2 linked regions of the Ovis aries genome follow. The protein of the gene in region 1 purifies or fractionates together with the protein of each later gene. This does not show direct contact. Links are inferred from orthologs where the notes say so. Each region holds a gene or a part of one and is shown on either strand. Other genes may lie near its edges.

What was found.
Region 2: the proteins of GPC1 (region 1) and HADHB purify together in Homo sapiens (co-immunoprecipitation; 3 studies listed by BioGRID and IntAct, counting the BioPlex papers as one, with this or other methods). This does not show direct contact. The link is inferred for Ovis aries from reciprocal best matches to the Homo sapiens genes GPC1 and HADHB.

What each region holds. Positions count from the first base shown.
Region 1 is NC_056054.1:1,128,621-1,140,368, reverse strand, and holds the start of GPC1 (glypican-1), read left to right. Parts: upstream 1-6,314; 5' UTR 6,315-6,499; coding exon 6,500-6,665; intron 6,666-11,748. UniProt on the Homo sapiens protein: Cell surface proteoglycan that bears heparan sulfate. Binds, via the heparan sulfate side chains, alpha-4 (V) collagen and participates in Schwann cell myelination.
Region 2 is NC_056056.1:33,481,398-33,492,609, reverse strand, and holds part of HADHB (trifunctional enzyme subunit beta, mitochondrial), read right to left. Parts: intron 11,051-11,212; coding exon 10,963-11,050; intron 9,817-10,962; coding exon 9,629-9,816; intron 9,295-9,628; coding exon 9,114-9,294; intron 8,574-9,113; coding exon 8,452-8,573; intron 5,414-8,451; coding exon 5,334-5,413; intron 5,257-5,333; coding exon 5,209-5,256; intron 4,517-5,208; coding exon 4,429-4,516; intron 4,110-4,428; coding exon 4,035-4,109; intron 3,462-4,034; coding exon 3,252-3,461; 3' UTR 705-3,251; coding exon of another isoform or gene 669-704; 3' UTR 1-668. UniProt on the Homo sapiens protein: Mitochondrial trifunctional enzyme catalyzes the last three of the four reactions of the mitochondrial beta-oxidation pathway.

The sequences.
Region 1 (11,748 bases):
GGGGACGAAGGAGAAGGCCCGGGGGCCAGGCCAGGGTCTGTGGGGCCGGGGGCTCCTTTGGGGACTGCCTCACCCCAGCTCTGGGCTCCCAGGGCTGAGGCCAAGGGCACAGCAGGCAGGCATCCCTCTCTGCCCTCCCCGGCTCCAGCCCTGGCCTCAGGCCTGGGGAGCACTTGGATCAGGGCCCCTCGGGAAGGGCCAGACTCTCACTGAAGGGCTGGTGTCAGGAGCCACGCACACTGGTTTAAGCGACCACCCACCTCTGGGGAGGGGACACTCGACCTCCAGTGCCCCTCCTCTCAGCAAGGGTGGACCACGCCCCTGTCCCGCTCACCCAGAACTGACTGGGGCTGGGCACTTGGACTGAGCTCGGCCGTAGGGCTGACCCCACGGCCACTCATGGCACAGGCTGTGACCCCAGGCCTCCCCTTCAAGTCCAGCAGGCACCCCTTACACATGGGGATGGCCCTGCTGTGCCGGGGGGACAGAGGGGCTGCGGCCTCCCACGAGCAGTGCTGGGGCCGGGGACCCCCAACCCTGGGCTGCACCCACAACAGCCCCCTCCCCTAAGACCTGCAGCATAACCCCATCTCTGGAAGCGCCCCCCGCCATCCACGGGCTTCAGGGCCTCTGCGTCTCGCCAGCAGCCCGTTCTCCTGAGCCGGGGGTCCCGGGCTCAGCATCAGATGTCCCCCCCACCCTGGAGGGCTTTCCTCTTGCACAGTCAGGCCTCAGCAGTCTCAGCGGCAGACCGCGTGGGGCTGGAACCTTCTTGCAGCCTCGCTTGCCAATGCCTCCCCTCAAGGTCCAGAAGAGCCCTCAGTTTGCACCCAGGTCTCAGCTCTCCTGCCAAGGTTGCAAGACCCTGCTCCTGGGACCCTGCAGAGCAACACCCAACTCCACCCCGGAGAAGGTCCTGCACTGCCCCCCAGCATCACACTTAGCAGGCAGCTCTGGGCCCTGGCACCACACAGGTGGGGTCCTTCTCAGCCTGGTGTGCAGCCCCCAGCCAGCGGGCTGCTCGCCAAGGCTGCTCAGGAGGCCACAGTCACCTCCCACTCGCCAGTCCATGGCGCCTGGCTCCCAAAAGGGGGATGGCTCCCCCCAGGCCAGCTGACCAGGGCCCCACCCTGGCCCCTTCCCTCACCCTCCCCAGAGAAGACCCTCGGAAACACGGCCCTGCCCCCACAGCCCCTTCGTCAGGAGCAGCAAAGGTGGGGCCAGCCAGGGTCGGTTCCTGGGCACCTTCCCGTAGCCGCGCGGCCCAGCAGAGTCCCTGCGTTCCAGGCACATTGGCATCTCGCCTGCAAGAGCCCAGGGCACACCTGGGTGAGCGGGCAAGGTCCCCTCCGGGGGTCAAGGGGATGGCCTGTTTCAGACGCGGGTCTGTGTCTTCCTAAAAGTGATGGCTGGGATCCCGGGTCTCATCCGGCCACATGATGGGCCTTCTGGGCCCGCTCCGCCCCAGGGTGAGTCCTCCACTGGCTTCTCAGAGGGCGCCTTGAACTTGGCCAGGCCCTGGAAACTGCTCTTTGTTCGGGGGATCCAGAGGGCTGTGGAGCCCTTTGGGCAATAGTGATGGAGAGACGCCGGGAGACCTCACATTTAGGAGACCACCTTCACCAAGACCCTCAGGTGCCGCCCCTGCCTGGACACACACGCCCTGGGCCCCAAGCCTCTGGAGCTGGAAGCAACCTCAGACCTGCCTGAGACTAGTGGAAGATTCCAGGACACGCCACAGATGTCTGGGGAGGAGAGGGTGGCTTGGTTTGGTTCAATGGGCTGGCTGGCCGTGAGGTGAGGAGCGGCTGGGAGCTCTCTGGCATCACTAGGCGTGAAGGACTGGAGATGGTGCAGGACAGACAGAAGCCAGACAGGCAGGGAGGCCTGGCGGGGACCCCGGAAAGCAGCAGTTCCCATGCCGGGCACACCAAGAGGGTTTTGCCCCAACACGTCAGACGGTGCCTGGGTGTCCTGGGTCCCAGCTCAGCCCTTCCTCCGGGGCCAGGCCAGGAACCAGGTGGGGAAGGAGGCTCAGGGGAGGCTGTGCCAGGTGGGCCCAGACCTGAGCACACAGCCACCTCCTCCTGGGGGTGCGTGGACCCTACACTCGGGCACCCGCCCACAGCTCCTGCCCAGCCCCGCCCGCGTGCCCGAGCCTCAGGAGCCTGGGAGGCCTGCCCAGGCTTCTGGCTGATCAAAGGGCCCCGCGGAGCTGAGCGGGCTGCCTAGGTGTCCGCCTTGAGCTCCGAGCCCTTGCAGGAGCTGGAGCAAGGGACGGGGGACGGGCAGGACGGCCCTTGGGGACGACACCCCCATTTCGTCTGACCTGCAAACCCCGTGCTCAGCGTGGGCCTTCTCCACCCTCCCTGCTTCAGAGGGGCGTCCCCCACCCCGATTTAGGGGAGTAGTTCAGACTCAGAGCCGAGTCGGCCTTCTGGGGGTTGAGGACGAGACCCTCGCCTGCGGGGCCTCCAGGACGCTGCTGGGCAGAGCCCAGGCCAGTGCCACACCTTGGGGATTCTGCCCTAACATCCTGGGGCGAGATCTTTTATAAGGACAAGAGACGCGTTCCCAAAGGGATGCGTGAGCGACGAGAAGCGTTCGGGAGCAGACCAGCAGCAGCCACGAGGCCCAGGAGGGCGCCCCCTCACCCCCCAGGCTCGGGGAGCCACCAGGGACCCTGAGGACTCCTGCCCACAGAAGTCTCTGCTCCACCAGAGTCCCATTCATCTCCTCCAGCCATGCCCGAGGTGCCCACTCCCTCTCTCAGCCTGCTGCCCAGCAGCCCCCAGCTCCCTACAGAGGTGGGGGGACCCTGTGCCCTCCGCCCACCCCCAGGGCATCACAGCAGCTCTGGGGCCCCAGCAGGTCAGCGGCAGCCCAGCTGTCCTGGGCCCAGCGCCCCCTGACCCCGCCCTGTCCTGCCAGCGGGAGAGGGTCTCGCTGGGGGCACGGCGGGCAGAGACAGTCCTGTGGATGGAGGTGAACTTAACTGCTCAGTCCACCTGGGCACTTGCCTTGGGGGTCCCAAAAGATGCCCACCAGACACAAATCCCGTTACCCCCCAGCAGCTGCAGGGGGAGCCCCAGCCTGCGGGGTCCGGGGTGGAGCCCGCCAGGCCCGCAGCCCTAACAGCTGGCTCCCGTGGCTTCTGAGCAACCCTGGCCGCCAGCCCCTCACCGGCCAGAAACAGGAAGTGGGGGGCAGGGCGCTGCCCCTCCGGGTCACTCCTCAAGGAGACGGAAACGTGGGAGAGCACACGCCCCCTTCTGAGACGACTCTAAATGGTCCTTTTCTTCTCAGCCCGCACTTGGTGTCAGCAGAGGGCAAATCCAGCCTGTCACACACCCACTCGACAGGGATGATGCTGTTTCTCTTTATGAGCAAACCACTCACGCCTTCCTCCCTTCGCACATCTGTGCCCACATGTCTGGCAGACCGGGACCCCAGAGCAGAGGATGGTGGTCTTGGCCAGAGCCACAGCAGCCACCTGTGGGCTCATGAGGCCCTCCCCAGTGCAACCTTGCCCTAGATCCCGGAGACCCAGGCTGTGCGTTCTCCCAGGGGGGCGCTCAGTCTGCACGGCAGGCCCAGGGCCATGAGTGGGGGCTGGGCACAGGCAGCTGTGTCTCGGGAGCAGTGGACTCCCAGCAGCTGGCACTGGGGTGTTATGACCCTGAACCGGGCCCCTTCCCTCGGAAGAGAGGAAGGAACATGGGGGTGCAGGCGGCACCTCCTCTCCAGGCCCCAAGGCCTGTGACCTGCGCCTTCAGCAGAGCCACCCGGAGCCACGGCCACCTAGCAGTCAGCTGCCCCTGCGCCTGGCCTCCAGCTCCTGGTCACAAGGCTCCTGGCAGGTGCTGGACCCATCCGGAGCCAGGCGGACAGTCCCCTGCCTCCCTGTGGACACGAGCCGACACCAGGCCCTCCACAGCGTCCCCTGGCCCCAAGGACAGGCCCTGCACTGGGTCTCCACAGCAGCTCCCAGCCTGCATGGGCATGGCCAGGCCCCGCCCTCAGTCCCTACGAGGAGACATGAAACCCGGGAGAGTGAGGCATCTGCAACCACACGGCCGACGAGGCCGACGAGCATGGGGCCGGGCCTTGAACACACGGCCGACGAGTGTGGGGCCGGGCCTTGAACTCCGGTCCGCCGCTCTCACGCCGGGGCGGAACCAGGGAGGCCACTGGCGGTGGTGATGAGACAAAGCATGGGCTTTCCCTCCCACTGCTTTCTGTCACCTTCAATCAATGACCTGGTGATGGAGAGCCAGAAAGACAGTACCCGTGGGGTGGGGGGGGAGGCGGGGTGTGCCCCGGGGGACCCTGGTCCTCAGCCCACACCGCACCCTGGCCGCCCCACCACCTCCCCAGGCAGCCTCCCAGCGTGGGGAGGAGCAACAGGGGCATAGGCAGAGCCCCGCACTCCCGGGAGGGGGGCCCAGCGCCCACACCCAGCTGCCCTCGCAGCTATCCTCCAGCGGGGCCGAGGCCCTCGCTTGCCCGGCTCGCCTCCACGTCTTGGCAATGAGACGTTAGAACTGCCTGGGAACAGTTCTTCACTAGTGGAAGGACCCTGGCTCTGAAGGGGAAAGAACAGAGGACCTTAGGGGCGATGGAGCCAGGACACACCTGGGAGGGGCCGGGCAGGGGCTGTGCCCACCACCAGCACCTCGATGCCGGCCACGTGAGAGCGGCCCCCCAGGCTCTGGTGCACTGATCCTGCCCTGAGGAATCGCACGGTCTGGCCGACTTTACAGGTGACAGACCCCAGTAACTACAGCCAGGTTGGGTGACCCCACCAAACCTCAGATCAGGTTTAGCCCCCCCCCCCCCCCCCGCCTGATCCGGAAGCAAAGATGGAGGGGGGTCCTGGAGTGGCCGCCGGAGGGCTGCACCCGAGTCACCCGCTGGACACAGCAGGTGCACGCGGAGGGCTGGAGGCCCGGAGGCCCGCACACGGCGGGGCCTCACCCCCGTCTCACAATGGCGAGGGGCTAGGAGACGCTCTAGGGCTGCGGCGCCCACCACTCTGGGAGCCCCAAGGGAGGGATGCGGCCCTCCTTCCTCCAACAGTGGGCGGGCTTGCTCCTGTGAGGTGAACAGGGCCCCAGGTCCAAGGCCCAGGCGTCTCCCCGGCTCCCGGCGGCGGTCTCGGGGTCCTCCCAAGGGTGCTGCTTCGTGAGCTCGCACTCCATTTCTGCCCATCAGGCGTCTGGGCTCGGGGACTGGTGGCCTCTGGGCTCTATGCTCACAGAGCAGGGGGGCACGAGCGCGAAGCGGGGGAGGGCAGCCCCTGGGAAGAAACGAAGCAGCCCTCCCGGAGCCAGCGCCCAGCTTCTGACCTCCCTTCCCGCGGCCCCCGTCCCCTCTCCCTGCGGCCGACAGCACTGCGAAACCCCCGCGCGGTCCCGGCCACCCCTCGGTCTGCGAGCGCTCTCCGCCCCCCTCCCCCATACACCTGACCTGCTCCTGGCCCGACCCCACCCCTTCTCCAAGAGGTCACCTGCCACCACCCGGCGGCCCCAGCCCTCGGACAAGCCTCTGCCCCGCTCTCGCTTCTCAAGCATCCAGAGCATCACGTGGAGGGCACAAAAGCCGGCCGACGATCTCCGGCAACTAAGCAGCGGGTTGCCTCTGAGCGTGAAGGCGAGCGGTTGCGGGCTGCTCTCTTGGCTCGTTTCCCGCGTACAGCCCCCAACCCTCCTCCACAAAAAAATCAAGACGGAGCTGGAGCCGCGGGCGAGGAGGTTGAAACGGGCGCGAGGGTGAGGGGCCGGTGAAGGGGTGAGGGCCAGGTGCGGGCGGCGGACACAGGGGGCCGAGCAGGCTGCGGGACCCTGCGCGCGAGGCACGCGGCCAGCAGGGCGCAGGCCGGCAGGGCCGGCGCGGAGTCGCGGGAAGCTGGGCGGGCGGCCGGCGGGGGGCGGGGAGGCCCCTGATAGGCGCGCGGGAGGCGTGACGTCACGTCCGGCGGGGGAAGCCCTGCCTCAGCGCCCCCGCCGCCGCCCCCGCAGGTGGTGTCGCCGCCCCGGGCGCTGGGGGTGGGGGGCCCGCCCTGGGGACCCCGGACGCGGCCCCGCGCTCTGCGCCACCCCGCTCTCCTCCAGCTGTCGGCAGACCCGCGCGAGCCGGGCAGCTCCCCGCCCCAGGCCCGGGAGCCGGAGGGGCGCCCCGCGCGCCTGGGATCGCGCCCCCGCGCCGCGCCCCGCCCCGCGCGCCCCGCGCGCCCCGCCCCGCGCGCCCCGCCCCGCCCCGCGCCCCGCCGCCCAGGGGCCGGGCCCGGACTGCGCGCTCGCCTGCCGCGCTCTGGGGCCGCCCGAGCCAGCGGCCGGACCTCGCGCCCCGCGCGCCCCGCGCCCCGCCGGCTTTTGTTGTCTCCGCCTCCCAGGCCGCCGGCGCCTCCGGACCGCCAGCCGAGTGCGCGGGGACCTTGGCTCTGCCCTTCGCGGGCGGGGGCTGCGCGGGCCCGGCCGGGGGCGCCGCCGGCACCGCCATGGAGCTCCGGGCCCGAGGCTGGTGGCTGCTGTACGCGGCCGCCGTGCTGGTCGCCTGCGCCCGCGGGGACCCTGCCAGCAAGAGTCGGAGCTGCGGGGAAGTGCGCCAGATCTACGGGGCCAAGGGCTTCAGCCTGAGCGATGTGCCCCAGGCGGAGATCTCGGGTGAGTGACCCGCGCGCCCGGAGCGCCGCTGCGCCCCCTCCTCTCTCCCGCCCTGCGCCCCCGCGCCCCGCGCCGCCCGCCCTCCGCCCGGGTCTCCTCCACTCCGCCCGGCCTTCCCCGGCCGCCGACGCGCACACACTGGCCCCTTCCCCGCGGAGCTGTCCTCGCCGCGCAGCCAACGGGGCGCTCTCCGACCCGGCGAGTCCTCCAGGGCAGCTTGGGCTGAGCCGCTGAGTCGGCTGTGGGGGCGCAGAAGACCGCGGCCGTGGGCTCCGGACTCCCCCGGGGCCGTGCGGTCCTTCCCCGGAGGCTCCTGGGGTCGGCCCGCGGATTCCCGGGGGTCCCCAGCAGAGACATCCTCGGGGCCCCGGCGAGGCAGGGAGCGAGCTGTGCGCTTGGGGAGGGGCGAGGGCCGGGGCGGACGGGCGCGACCTCGGCCAGCGGGAGCGGAACGCCGCCTCGCAGGGACTCCTGCCTGGGGAGCTTGTGCTCGCCTGGCGCTCCGGGCCGCCTCCGGCGGGGAGTCCAGCTGCAGGTGGTCGGCGCCTTGGATCCCGCCCAGGGGCCGTGCCGTTTCTTTGTAAGAGCAGCGCCGTCGCAGGCGGCCTGGGCCGTGCAGCTGCCCGCAGTCCTGCACACCCTCCTGCGGGCCTCGGAGGAGCTGTACGGACCGGAGCGGGGGTGAGGGGGAGCGCGGAGTCTGCGGAGCTCGCAGACACTCCCCCCACCCCCAAGCTCCTTCCTCAAGCTGCAAACGTGTCCAGAGCTGCACCGGGCGTGCACGGCGGTGCAGGGTTCCCGGGACCGGGGTGGAGGGGGGCGGCCGGGAGCAGAGTTCCAGGCTCCTGCCCTGGGGACGCCTCCCAAGCCAGGGCGGGGGGTGGCGGGGTGGGGAGCGGGGAGAGACCACACTAAAGTTGTCACACGGGGGACAGGGAAGGACCGCAGCCACAGGAATTCTGAATGAGAGGGGAGAGTGAGGACTGCGTCCATGGCCGGGCCTGGCTGGGGAACGGGAGGTGGGGGGCAGCCAGGCCCTTGACCCCTGCCCCCAGGAGGGCAGAACCCACAGAACACTGCCTGGGCTCCTTGACAGCCCCCTGCCCGGGGCTCTGGAGATTCCCCCCTCTCAAGTCCCCCAGGCAGGCCTTCCCGTGCTTCTGCTGACAGAGACCTGCCATTGATCGTCAGAGCTGCCTCCTCCCTTGGAGGGGCAATTTTCGTGGGTGCGTCTGGGCACTCGGGACCAGCACAAGACCCCCTGCACAGTCGGTTCAGGCTCTCCCCTGACCCTGCCCCATGCTAGGGCCGGAGGCCTGGAAATGCTTGACCTTTTGGGTGAATCCCCGAGCCCCAGGGTCTCCCAGCCCCAGCCTCGGCTGGCACCCCCCAAGACCCCTGGACTCCACAGCCCCCCCTCAGAAGCCCACTCCCACGCGGCCTTTATGTCCTTGGGGGCTGTCCTACTCTCGATCGCACCCACAGGCCTCTGTCCCAGTTAGGCCGAGACACAGGGTGGCAGGGTTTGGGCAGCCGCCAAGGGCTGGGAGCGTGGTGGGCAGGCTAGGGAAGGCAAGGCGGGTTGGCGGCCAGGCCTCCTTGGACTGCAGGGTGCAGGCGCTTCAGGGCCCGGGACCGGCAAAGAGCGCTGCTGTGCGTGTGATGGGGGACTTTGCAACTGGGGAGCGTGGTGCCAGCCGCAGCTCCGGGTGCCGCCCTCACGGGGCCTCTCTGCCTGGACTCCCTGTGACTCCTCCGCCCCAGCTCCCGGGGGTCCTGTGGCTGCACCCCGCCCCCCTGAGTGCCCCGCAGGGCCCAGGCACCGAGAGGAGTGCCAGCGCCACGTGGGGTGAAGGAAGCAGGGTGACCTCCCAAGGCAGCGGCCAGCCCTGTACACTCCTCCTGCTCGGCAGCTTGGTGCGGCTCCGCGGGCCGGGCGCCCCCTGGTGGCCGCTTGGTGGCACGACGGTCTCCTGGAGCCGGGCCTTCCGTGTTGAGTCTTGGGGGCCGGTGGGTGCCTGGGGATCCTGCGGGGGTGGGCGCCTGAGTTGGCTGGTGGGGTGGAGGCTCCGTGTTTCCCAGGACTGGAGGGGAGGGAGGACGGCCCTGGGCCTGTGGGCGACCTTTCCAGCCTCCACCTCCCCAGGGGGTAGAAACTCCGTGGGCTCAGGAAAGAGGGGCCGTCAGAGCACGAGGGGCTTCTGTTTGTGATGTGTGTAGTTTTTTGGATGGACAGCCAGGCTCAGCCAGGGTGAGGAGGGCAGCCATCCCATTTTACAGGGGGGCCTCCCCCCAGCCAGAGCCCTGCGTAGAAAGTGAGAGGGAGCCGCCCCTCAGCCTCAGTCCGCCTGCAACGGCTGGGAAAAGCCCAGCCCCAGGCTGCATCTGTCACAGGACATGCACACACCCATACATGCATGCACACACACACGCGCGCGCGTGTATACATGTGATGCACACGTGCACACCTGCACACCCGTGCACACCCGTGCAAACACGCACACATGTGCTCACACACGCACACACATGCACACATACGGGTGTACAGGTGCCTGTGGTCTCTCGGCCTTCACCTAGGGGCTTGCTCCCGGGGCACCTGCTGGCTCTCCTGACCCTTTGATGCCACAGTTCATCATGGCCTCTCTGACCCTTCACTAGGGTCCTGGGGGCAGAGGCGCATCTGTCTGTTCTGTTCTCTGCGGCAGCCGCAGAACCTCGCCCAGTTCCTGGCACGGAGTCGGTTCTCAGTCCACACCCACACACGTCCCACTTTATGCCCGGCCACGGTGGGGGCCGTGGGAGGCGGAGGGCCGGGCCGAGGAGGAAGGACCTGGCTGTCCGGCTTTGGGGTTGGAGGTTGGAGGGGAGCCCGGCGCTGTCAGCGGCTCCTCGGCTCTGGGACCCCAGCTGGCCAGGGGCCCCCAGCAGGGGCCACCGCTCAGGCCTCCCAGCAGAAACCATTGCTTCACCGTGCCACCTGCCCAAGGCTGTCGCTCGGCCACAGTCAGCGGGCCTCGCACAGACCGCCTGGTGCCCAGCCCAGCCGCAGACCAGACAGTGCTCATCCCGCCCTGTTGAGAGGGCAGAGACCCAGGGGCCTGCCCTGGGTCCCCAGGTGGTCTCCAGCCTCCTCTGAGCCGCTGCTCTGGCTCCTCACCCCTGGAGCCGCTGCGGTTTCATCATCCCCAGCCTGAGGACAAGGCTGGAGGGCGGGGGAAGAAGGGTGGGGACCCAGGGGAGCCAGGAGCCGACAGGCCACTGCGTGATGCAACGGCCTGGGCCCCCGCTGGAGCCCCGGCACGCCGCCGCGCTTCCCGGAGGGGCAGGGCGTCCTCCCTGGGCCTGGGCGCAAAGGCCAGCCCTGTTGCGGCGCCCGCCCACCGCCACCTGGGCTCTCCCGGCCCCCGTTTCTCCACATGTGACAACGGACACAGTCAGGACCCCCCTGAAGGCCGCGGAGGGAAAGCGCGCTGGCCCTGTGCGCTCTGGGGGCTGCTCCCAGCCCTGGAGCCCACTCGGGCCCTTCCAGCAGTGCTGTCTAGCAGGTGGAAGCGCCGTCCTGCCCCGGACTCAGGGGTCACTCCCCAGGACCATCTGCCGGGTGCAGGGGATAGGGGGTCTGGACCTGACTCGGGGGTCACTCCCCAGGACTGTCTGGCGGGTGCAGGGTGTGGGGGGGTCTGGACCTGACTCTGGGGTCACTCCCCAGGACTGTCTGGAGGGTGCAGGGGGTTGGGGGCTCTGGACCTGACTCGGGGGTCACTCCCCAGGACTGTCTGGCGGGTGCAGGGTGTGGGGGGGTCTGGACCTGACTCTGGGGTCACTCCCCAGGACTGTCTGGAGGGTGCAGGGGGTTGGGGGCTCTGGACCTGACTCTGGGGTCACTCCCCAGGACTGTCTGGAGGGTGCAGGGGGTTGGGGGCTCTGGACCTGACTCGGGGGTCACTCCCCAGGACCGTCTGGCGGGTGCAGGGTGTGGGGGGTCTGGACTTGACTTGGGAGTCACTCCCTGGCACTGTCCAGTGGGTGGGGGTTCTGGACCTGACTCAGGGGTCACTCCCCAGGACTGTCTGGCGGGTGCAGGGGGTGTGGGGGTCTGGACTTGATTCAAGGGTCACTCCCCAGGACTGTCCAGTGCGGGGGGTGCCTGGACCTGACTCGGGGGTCACTCCCCAGGACTGTCTGGCGGGTGCAGGGGATGGGGTGCCTGGACCTGACTCGGGGGTCACTCCCCGGGACCGTCCGGCGAGTGCAGTGGTGGGGGCCTGGACCTGACTCAGGGGTGAGTACCTGAGGCCAAGAAGCCCCGCCGCTTCTCCAGCTCCACACTCACCCACTGGGCGCTCAGGTCCAGAGCCCAGTGTGCTGACCCCCGGGCCCGTGGCACTAATGGCTGAGCAGTGCTGGGCTCTGGGCTTCTGGACGCCTCACGTCACCCCAGCCTGGAGGGCTGCCAGCTGCCCTCTCCGCAGCTCCCCTGGTCCCAGCCCCCCTCTCAGACCAGAAGCCTCTGCACTGACCCCTCCCGGGGGCCTCCGTGCCCCTCCCTCACTGGGCTGACGGCGGCCCGGCCTTGCCCACAGGTGCACCCCTGGCCAGTCCTGGCACCTGTCCAGGGAAGGCCCACCGCCCGTGCCCTGCTCAGGAGAGCTCCTCCAGGGGCGTGACCCTTGGTGTGCCCCACGGGCAGCACGGCTATGACCCTCGGGGCAGGCCTGGAGTGTCCCCAGCACCATAGCAAGCCAGGTTCCCCGGCAGTCACGGGGATGTCCTGTCCAGGGTGGGTGACTCCGGAGGGCTGGCCAGAGGTCTCAGTAAACTGGCCCCGTGCTGGCCCTAGTTAGGAACAGCGTGAGCCTGAGGTGGACAGGCCTCCTGGCAGAGGGGCTGGGGCACGCTGGCCCGGCGGCAGGCGGACCCCGGAGCTGGGGAGGGAGCACAGAATGGGTGTGGGCGCACTGGGCCTCTGCTCGGCCCCCTAGAGGCACGGGCATGGGTGTCCGCCCGGCCCGGCCAGGCCAGGGGGACAGGCCTCGCCAGGTCAGGTCGGGTCCCGGCCAGGACTCGCCCCCTGGAGAGAGGC
Region 2 (11,212 bases), on another chromosome or scaffold:
TGCATGCAATGTAGATGTGGGTTAGATCCCTGCATCAGGACGATCCTCTGGAGAAGGGAATGGCAACCCACCCCAGTATTCTTGCCTGGAGAATTTCATGGACAGAGGAGCCTGGCAGGCTACAGTCCATGGGGTCACAGAGTTGGACATGACTGACAACTAACACTTTTAACAAGGTATTTATACATCTAAACATTTACTGTAAATTTTCAGTGATGCTTAGATTCTGAATTATTTCCCCATAATTAAGTTAATTTAGGCACACTAGTTTTGTGTTTTATAGAAAACGTTTATCGTTAGGTCACAAATAGGAATGAGTTATAATTTGCAAATGTTACAAAGGTGATCCCAAATCTCACCTAGTCTCTTTCCAAAACTGTAGCCACTAATTCAGTCCTTAATGAAAATAGAGACCAAATACAATTGCTTGAACTTATCACTGTGAGAGATTCTGGTAACTAAGGAATCCCTGAAACAGTAGTAAGCTGTGATTCTTAGAAAGCTCAGAACACTGGAAAGGCTTAATTGCAAAGTATTGAACAAAAGGCCACAAATTTTGCTTTCCTAAGAGGAGCTGGGAACTAGAGATGTCATTGAATAGTGCATTGAAATGGCATTGCCTAGGCCGAGTGCTGCACAGAAACTCCAGGTCACCTCTTCTGGATCTACTATTTTGGATAAGCTTCCACTATCATAGCATGGCCCTGTAAAAGAAAAAAGAAGTCCAGTTAGAGCAATGAAAGGCATGAATCCAGCCAGTATGGAGGCAGCAGAGAACCACGGAAAAGTACAGGCTTTGGAACTCAATCCTGACTCTGCCATTCAAACACTGTGTGATCTTGGGAAAGTTATTAGCCACTCTGAACTTCAACTTCCTCTATAAAATGGGGCTCGTGGTGCCCATATCAAAGTATTTTTGTGAGCATTAAATTAAGCGATAGCATACAATGTGTGTGTACATACACCACACACATACATGCATACACATGTGCATCAAAGTCTGCCTAGTAGAGTCTGATTTCTAGTAGATGCTCCATAAGTGGCTGCTATTAAAATAAGCCACAGTGGCTTTTTTTAGCTATATAAAAATAAACATGATACAGTGAATTTGACAACAGCTTTCTTTCTTGTGAGAAAGATGAGAAAAATGGGGGCTTTTTATTTAAAAAATGTAAAAAGGTTACATTACTCACCCAAATCCAGAAAGCTATCAAATAACAGGGTCAGGACTTGAAACCAGATGATTCCAAAGCCTGATCTCTTCTTTACTACGCTATGCGTGTGGAGATGATGAGCTGCGGTCCCACAACAGTCAAAAGGCAGAAAACCCCTTTCCAAGCACTAGGCACAGTACAGTTACCTCCCTAGTTTAACCCTAGTGTAGAAATGTATGATGTCACGAGTCTAAATCCTATCTGATAATCATAATCATTCTTCTGGACTGTTATCAATCCAGTTAACAGTTTTAACTAATCTCCCTACTTCTAGATTCAATTCAATCCCCACAATATTTATTAAGGAACTATTATTTATAAGGCACCGAGTTAAACACTGTGTGGGTACAAGGTTTTGCTACATGGCCTCTATCCTCAATCTAGTATACACTGTAGTTCAAAACAAACTGTTAAATACCCTTGATACAGGCACAAGCAAATGAAAGAACAGGGATGGGAAGGTCTGACTGACTTCGGGTTGTCCTAGAAGGATACATAATAAGTTAGAATATTCCTTCTCCTGTTTTATTTAAGCTGTGTTATTTTCATGTTCCAAATCTATTATACTATTCTATGTCAGTGATTCCCAACTGCAGTGATTTTGCTCCCCACCCTCCCCAGAGGACATTTAGCAATGTCTGGAGATATTTTTGGTTGTCCCAACTGTGTGTATATGGTGAGACAGGGAGAGCCGGTAATGAGGGGGGTTGTTTGCTACTGTTATCTAGTGGACAGAGACCATGCTAAACACTCTACAACACACAGCATAATCCTGCCAGCCAAACAAAGAATTACCTAGCCCAAAGTGTTACTACTGCCAAAGCTGAGAAATCCTGCTCTAGATCCAATGACGAACTCCTCCTCTGATCTAATCATGTCTATACAGCACTCACTTGGCTCTTGATGAAACAATGCCAAGCTGAATCTAGTGTCTAGAATGCATCATCTCCTTCCTCACTACACTTAAACTTCTGGAGGAAAGTAATAACATTGGATATTATTCTTTGTTCATTTACAAAACCATCTAGTATTAGGTTACTAATCCTCTATGTGCTAGATTAAAAAACTAGGGAACAAACACTCAAAACCAAAGGACACTGACTGGTGTGGACTATGCACCATGTACAACGTTGTGCATCAGTTATCTCCCCCAGTGGATCTTGGCATAGAAAGATAAGAAGGAGGGCTCCAGTCCTGACCAACCATGGTTTTCCATAAACGAAGTTACCCAGTTTAGAAAATACTTCCAATCATGAAGTCTAAAAGATTCTAACCTAAAAATAACTGACCCCTTGCTTTTTCAAAGTCTGGGAGGAAAAGCCATAAATAAAGGCTTTTAAATGCAAGATGTTTATACTTTTACATATCTTATTCATCTTGGTCAGCAACAAATAGATTCTATTATCTGGTGAAAAATCAAATGTGTTTCCAGCAGGGTTAAAAGAAAAAAAAAAAACAGATTATAGCCAGCCTTCCTTTGGATTGTAGTCCCACAATGAAATGCTACAGGTAGGAAGTTTTGTTGGTAACACAAGTAAAACAGATAGAAAAAATCTGTAGAAAACAAAATTTTCCCCAGCTAAATAGCAATAAGTTATCCAGAGGTAAATTAATTCTCCATTGTACAGTTCACTTCTCAAGAAACACAGTTTTCCTCTTGGAGAGATTTTATAGATAAGGTCTCAAGGTGACTAAATAAATGAATAAAATTTTATTATTAAAGAAGAAAATATATCAAAGTATGATTAATGATAGTATCTGATGAGGGGAAGTGATTCTAGTCTTATTTTCTACATACTTTTTGTATTTTCCATAATTTCCATAATAAGCACATAAATAAAACCTGTAAACATTATTTTAGGGGGAAAAAAATTTGGATATAAATAGCTTCTTTCGTTCAAAGTACTCTCAGGGTTGAAGCTGTACTCCCCGGCCCTCAAAAATGGGCTTTTTTTTTCCAGTTGTGTGTCATCAGAAAAATCACTCTAAGACTGTTTCGAATTAAGATAAATCAAACATTCTTGGATGAATTTGTTTCTAAGAAAATAACTTTCTGGAAGGTATTAAGCTTCTGTGACCTACCTGCCCTCCAGCTGCACAGGCGGCAACTAGACCATACTGGCCTCCTTCCTTCCGTAACCTGTTGGCAGCTGCCATGACCAACCGACAGCCAGTGGCTCCGAACGGGTGCCCCAGGGACAGTGATCCACCCCAGTTGTTAAACTTCTCCAAAGGAGGCAATCCAACCTGGCTCCCACAAAAACAAACACAAATAAAAAAGACGAATTTACTTAAAAATCAGGCCAGGCTCTGAGTAACAGGAAGTAATAGCAATAGAGGGAAATAACTTTCTTAAAGACCCACCATATACTATTTTACTACAAAAGAAATTCCAAATCAATTCTGAAAGCCAAGGGCCCTGTTTATTTTTCATCTGACATCAGAGTGGATGAACCAAAGACAATTTGAATTCTTCCTTTTATTTTTTCCAAAGAACTTCCAGGAGCTATTTTTCAACTAAGAAATAAATACATGAAATAACACACAAAAATTTTCCAAAGAAGCAGCAGCCTTCCTCTTCATATTTTTATTAGCAGGTATTAAAGTTCCAAATATTATAGTGCTTTGGAAATTCAAAGGTTTGCTTTGCAGGGTCGGGGGAGGCCACACTGTGAGGCATGCAGGATCTTAATTCCCCGACCAGGGATAGAACCCACACCCCGTGCAATGGAAGCATGGAGCCTTAACCACTGGACTTCCAGGAAAATCCCTCAAGCCTATCTTTTTTTTCCTCAAGCATATTTTTAACCAGAAACTTACCTTGGCTTTTCTACCCATGTAGTTTTGTGCAAACCAATCAGAATCCATGGCCTTCAAATTAGCCAAAATCTGACCCTAGAAAGGAAAATAAATCAATAAGGACCTTCTTGTAGTAAAATCCCTCAAGACTTTCTTTCATGCATGAGTCTGTCTAACTTCAGTGCTAAGCAAATCTTTAAATCAGTTTTCCGTGAATATTTTCTAAAGAACCAACCTGATACTTCTGAAGGGCCTCAAAGAGATAGCTTCAAAAGATATGTTTTTCAACACTGTGGGTGTAGCCCTGGATTTCCTCCCAGTAGTGTTAAGTCAGTACTTCAAACATAAAGCTCTACTTGTTTCACACATATTAAATGATTATAGTCCTTTGATATGTGTCTTTAAAGTGACTTACTGAGAAAGCTTCATGAAATTCAAAAGCGTCAATATCATTCATTGTTAATCCTGCCTTTTCCAGAACTTTTGGAGTAGCATATGTTGGTCTGAAAAGAAAAAACTCAGTGATACGATATTAAAACTTTCATTTTTAACTAAAGAACTCTTTCATATTCCCCAAACTGAATTTTACATAGTTATTAGAAGGTCCTCTACTCATTCACTGATTCTACGGTACAAACAAAGTGTTGTTGATACAACAGTAAACTGAACAGACACGGCCTCTGCCCTCTGCAGTTGATATTCTAGACTCAGAGAAAGAGATAATAAGCAAGTAGACAATAAAAGAGAAGGGCAAGTTAATCATGTGAAGAGCCAGAAGAACACAGAGCTCAAATGGCAGAGCATAAGGGGCATGGCTGGTTAAGTGACATGATGGAGGCTAGTGAAGGTACAGCCTTGCGAGGAAGGGAGAGGAGTCTATCTAAACATTAGGAGGCTTTCATAAAAAGCTATTCTGATTGTGTTGCAGAGTAAGTAGCAGTATAAAAAAATGCTTATGACATCTTAATGTAAAAAAGGATATAAAGTTGTATATATGTGATAACTGTAGTAGAAAAGCATAGGAACAAGTAGAAAAGTTATAAAACGATAACACAACATAAAGGATTATTATTTTAAAAACCCAATTTACAAAACAATTATGAACTCAGTGCTTTATATACTTTTAAAATCTATGTAATAAACATGGGTAACCAATATTTTCTAGAATAATCCAAGAATATACATTGCTACCTACCCAAGTAAAAGCTGATCTTTTGGATCCTGGGACACGTACATGAAATCCCTAGATATAAAACAGAAGGGTGAGCTCTGTACTAAAGTAAAGAAACCAGAGGAAACTTACTTGAATACTTACTTTACCTCAGATATGCCTTTGGCTTATAACCCATGGCCAGAGCTTTTTCCTCTGCCATAATAAGCACTGCAGACGCACCATCAGTCTGAAATATTAATTGGAACAAAAATGTTAAATAACTGCAGCCTACCTGGTGCTATTTCTTCAGCCGTCTTCTATACTCTGTTCCTCAATTTACCAACGCATCACACTTACAGAGTGACTCTCTGTAACAAAATCTTCCCATTTTATCCATCATTAAATCACAATTTTACACACATACTGACCCATTTTTGGCAGATGAGGGTAGAAAAGTCTATTCAAAAAGTATCATAATTATCAAAATGAATGATGAGAATTGGTAACTCAATAGTATTCATAATAAACTAGAAGTTTTTTGCTTTTGGCACAGAATATGAGGAATTTTATGAATTAATCCTCCCCCAAATCTCTTCTTTACTGATTTATTTTTATATTTTCTGGACTGCTTCTCAGCTGTTTCCTGCCTGTGGCTTGTACATGATTTTCTTCAATTTAAAGACTCTATAACAAGCAAACCAAGAAGAAGAAGTGAGGGACAAATTAGTACTACTCACAAAAGCCCTTTACTACTGTTTCAAAAGAAAAAGCTAAAAAAAAAAAAAACACACACAAAAATTCCAAAGGAAAAGAAACTACTCTCTAGAACTGACAAAATTAAAACAATCTCTACCGTAATTTCAGACCATATTTTTGTAACTCAGTAACTCTGAAGAGGCTATGCAGCCACTACCAATAAGGTGGCCATAAAGTCTGGAAACACAGGTGACTATACCTAATAACATCACATTACTATATTCAATGTGCAATTGTGAAAAACTTCAATGAATACGGTACATTAACAGCATCTCTGAAAACCCATGTATCTGTGATGTATTACCTCTAATGACTCGTGTTTCTGATTTTGATGAATAAACCTGAACCTTCTGCACATCTCACAAGTATTCAAGGGGGTTCAGATCTGCCAAGAGTGTAACCGATGCCATATGAACCTATCATCCAATTTGGTTTTAGAAATAACCACCTAACCAATCCTTCACTGCTCAGGCTTTACCAGGTGGTACACCATCCTGTTAAAATCACCTCAGGTATTCTTTCCTAAGCTCAAGAGCAGGCATTAAATTGTCATTTATCAAGGTCAAATAAGTAAAACATTTGCCTGTGTTTCTTTCTAGACTGTATGTCTGGGTAGAAGAATGATACTGTAAGAAGAAACACTGACCAGATTAACTATATCCTGAAGACTGCACCCAAGGTAGTATGAGGGAAATCACATCTCACAGCAGAAGCAGAATCAAGAGGGACATTTAATAGAGGAGGAAAGAAAAAAAGCCCAAGCAAGGACATGAAGCTACCTGCATATAAGTAAAATAACAACCAAAAATGCGGGTAGATTTACTCCATGATGCTTATAGGAAAGTAATTTGGGGGTCAGCATAAAACATAATTTTCTAATAATCAGAACTAGAAAAAGTATCTTGTCATTCTCTCTGCCTACTTTTCAAGTCTTATGTTGCTCAGTTGCTAAGTTGTATCAGACTCTCTGTGACCCCATGGACTGCAGCACGCCAGGTTTCCCTGTCCTCCAAGTTGTAGATGACTCCCTAAATTCATATCCTGTGTTCCGACCAGGCTTTTCTCCAGAGGCCCTTTGCTCTCCTAACTCTCAAAGTTGCATTTGCCATTCCCTTTGCCTAGAAAGCCTTTTATACACTTCTTGAATTGGCTTGTACTCTTCCTTCAAGATTCACTGATCAAGTATTACCTCCTCTAAGAAGACTCTCTTACTCACCCAACTATGTATCTTCTCCAAGAGTCAATGCTTACAGTCATCACAGAACTTTCTCACTACAATTAACTATTCTTTTTATCTCCAGTGCCCAGCACAGGCAGGCAAAATTTTTTGACTGCTGAAGTGACTGAAGAGAACAGCTTTTTTTTTTTTTGAGAACAGTGTTTTTGTATTAGAATGCTGACTGGATCAGGGGACTTTCATAGCTTTAAAAACTGATTCTATTTTAATAGTCTTTGTAATAGGTAAGTATATTTTATTTATTTTTGGCTGTGCTGGGTCTTTGTTGCTGCATAAGGGCTTTCTCTAGTTGTGGCAAGTGGGGGCTACTCCCTAGTTGTGGTGGGCAGGCTTCTCATTGTGGTGGCTCTCTTTGTTGTGGAGCACAGGCTCTAGGCATGTGGGCTGTGGCCAACAGTAGCTGAGGCAGGTGGGCTCATGAAAAGCTGTTGCTGAACCACGAAAATACGTCAGGATTCTTGGCCTCCAGAGGAGAAGAATTCAATCTGGGGCCAGAGACGAGGCTTGAAAGCTCAGAGCTTTTGCGTACTAAAGTTTTATTAAAGTATAAAGGAGATAGAGAAAGCTTCTGACATAGGCATCAGAAGGGGGCAGAAAGTGTTAGTGTTAGCAATGGAGTTATACACTCTCCAATTAGTCATTACAATGAATCAAAAGAATGTCTGGAGGTTGTAAAGACCTCAGCAGACCTACTCCCATAATTTACTATAAGATAACAGGATTAGCCAGAAGGTTTAATCCAGAGACTGTCCTCAGGCAGGATACATTATTGTTATATAATCCTAAGGAATGTAGAGGAAAAAAAAAAAAGTTTGTTCTTTCTTCCTCCTTGAGAATTCCAGACCCCTCTCTCCTGGGGACCCCTGGACTTACCAACCTGCCTAGGAAATGACTCTCATTCCGTAGTTGCGGCTGGTGGGCTCTAGAGCTCTGGCTCAATAGTTGTGGTGCATAAGTTTAGTTGCTCCGCAGCCAGTGGAATCTTCCCAGACCACAGATTGAACCTGTGTCCCCTGCATTGGCAAGTGGATTCTTATCCACATTGCCACCAGGGAAGTCTGAGTAAGTATGTTTTTAAGTCTCTATTCATAATACACACAAGTACATTTATTTTAGGCTTTCCTATTGAGAATACACAAATATAAAAGATCATTGCTGCTGCTGCTGCTGCTGCTAAGTCGCTTCAGTCATGTCCGACTCTGTGCAACCCCATAGACACCAGACTCCCCCGGCCCTGGGATTCTCCAGGCAAGAACACTGGAGTGGGTTGCCATTAAATAGCACACAGTTACCAGGAAAGAAGAATTTGCAGCTGTCACTGTGCCATAGGGCTTGATGAATGCAGGTTTTAGTTTGGCCATCTGATCCAGAGAGGAAGGACGAATGCCATTATCTTGTGTAACTGTATCTCTTCCTATAAAAATATGAAATTTTTAACTCTAAGCTCAATAAGCATTATGTATCTTCTACAGAGAAATATGCTTTAAAATTACAAGAACAAATAAAATATAAACCATAACTATTCACTAAAAAGAAGGCTCTTTATAGTTATCAAGATATTACCAAATATGAAAGCAAACTCTTAAGACATTTGGGAAATAATCTAAATGATTTAACATTAAAAAGGATAACTTATTTTCTCAAGATATTTATTTATATTTGGCTCTTCTTTACAGAAGTCTTATAAATACAGAACTTTAAAAACAGGCATGCACATAAGAACTAAAATATATCTGCCAGACCTAAAGGAGATTTATAAAACATCTCTTTAAAATGCTTACATATGTTACAACAAAAATTGAAACCTGAGTCAATGTTTAAGAATAAAAGCTGAGTATTTTGGAAATATTCATTGAAAAGTCACTTAGGGTTTTTGGAGTTTTAGAAGAAATTCAGAACTCTCTAACAATATCAAGAAGCATTTCCCTTTACAAAGCTGAGTGAACTGTTTTACCTGGTACTTTGAAGGGCACAACATCAGAAAGGAGTCCTTCATCCTGTGCCCTTTTGGCCAGGCTGTGAGAGCGCAGTGCGTATTCATCCTGCTCCTCCCGAGAAATAGCAAAGGCAGCAGCCAATCGGTCTGCAGAGTGGCCCATGGTCTCACTGGTGGAGAACTCACTCACTGCAGGAAGCTGGGAAAGGAGATAATCGGGACCAGGTACACTGTTATATAACAGGTGCTATACCACACCTAGGGCTGTCTGGGAAAGTTAAAGTCTACGATCAATCAAGATCAAGACAAGGGAAGTTCTTTGTGCGCAAGACATCTCTAAAAAGGGCTTACAAATTCAAATCTTCTGCTATTTTTTTCTCTGTCTTGACCTAATAATTAACCTTTTCTTGTAACTAACAGAATTCACAGCTATTAGAACATAACTGAACCCATGCCATCTTATCTAACACTAAATCTCTGCAGTGGGATGCTTTGGCAACACAAGTCTTTATGTTAGCATTCAGGAGTCTTACCTCTGGCGATAGGAAATTCAATCTGAATTTAGAGATTACAGAGAGTCGCTGAGCCAGAGTCTTGGCCTTATTGAGATCCAGCATCATTTTCCTCATTTTCCTTGAATGGCGAATAGGGATGTCAGACATCAACTCTACACCACCTGCCACGACCACATCACACTGGCCGGAGGCAATCAGGCCGACAGCTATAGGGCACAGGCACAGGTTGTATGCACATGAGTATCTGTTGCATAAACTAAGAGACCACTGGCAATTTAAGCTTCTTTTTATTTTTCTTAAATTTAGGCTGGACTTAAAAATTGTACGATAGTTATTAGCATTGTACAACATGTGTAATGCTGGTTTTTATCTTTTCAGAGGGATTAGGATAATTTTTTTGAATGACTCAAAATACATTCAATGCACTAGAGAAAAACAAGTTTCATTCAGGCTACAGGGACATCAACCTTCAGAAGTATCCACTGGACCAATTCTCAAACAAATCATATCTAAAGTAGAATATGTGGCATATTTCATATGTTCCCAGCTTCAGTTTTGGTAACAACTCTTTATCCTATAAAGAGAATTTCGGTTTCTACTACAATCTAGATAAAGTATGGCTTTTAGATGTAAGGCAGCCCCCTGCCCTCTGGCCACGGGCAAGCATTATGTTGCTCTAACTGGAAGCAGTCACATGCTGTGCAGAGTGGAGAATGCCCCCATTTCTGCCTCCAGCTTATTCCCTGCCACCTTTATGGTGCGCTGGCCACTTGGCCTTGATGTCACTAAGAGCGTACATGATCACTGTATCTTTCAGGTTTCCTGTCTTTTCACAGTAAGGGCTGGTGCTACAAAATGTTCCACAGATTTGCTAAGTTTATTGTGAGAATTTGTAAATAATTATAAAAAGGCCAAGATGTGGGGGGAAAGTAGAGCAAAGAGCTGTACCATCCAAGTCAGTGATTTATCGCTATGATGATGATAGAGGGAGGAGGGCCACCATCTTCATGGGCGAGTATCATGCTAGAATCACCTAATCTTAAAACCTAGCAGGTGATAAACTCCTCCTGCCTCAAATCCAGAAGCACCTCCTCCGTTTAATAATCCCTGTGATAGCCAGCCACACTACTGATGAAGAAACTACACAGATGGTTGTGGTCCTCACGTATGGAGGGCAAGAAAAAGGTGGAGAACTACTGTCAAAAATAAAAAAATGTAAATGGTACCTTATTTTCTGAAACACACAAATTCAGAGATCATTTATTTCTGTTAAGAATAATGTTTAATGATCATAGAAAAGACAAAGGAGAACCAACATGTACCTTCTGCTGTCAAAAAAAAACCCAACATACCTGTGGTCATGGCTTGGTTGGAAGAGATGCAAGCCATGGTGACAGTGTGAGCAGGAGTCTTGTCAGAGAAGCCGGCTCCGAGGGCAGCCTTCAGGAAATACAGTGAACGCAATGATCACTTATAAAGGAAGTGCAATATGTGAATATGAGCGGTGCTGTGAGCAGTACTTCACTGTATGGTAAATCAGGAAAGGAGATAATATCTCACAGAGGAGAGGAATATTTAAAATACAACTGAGTCCATCATGGA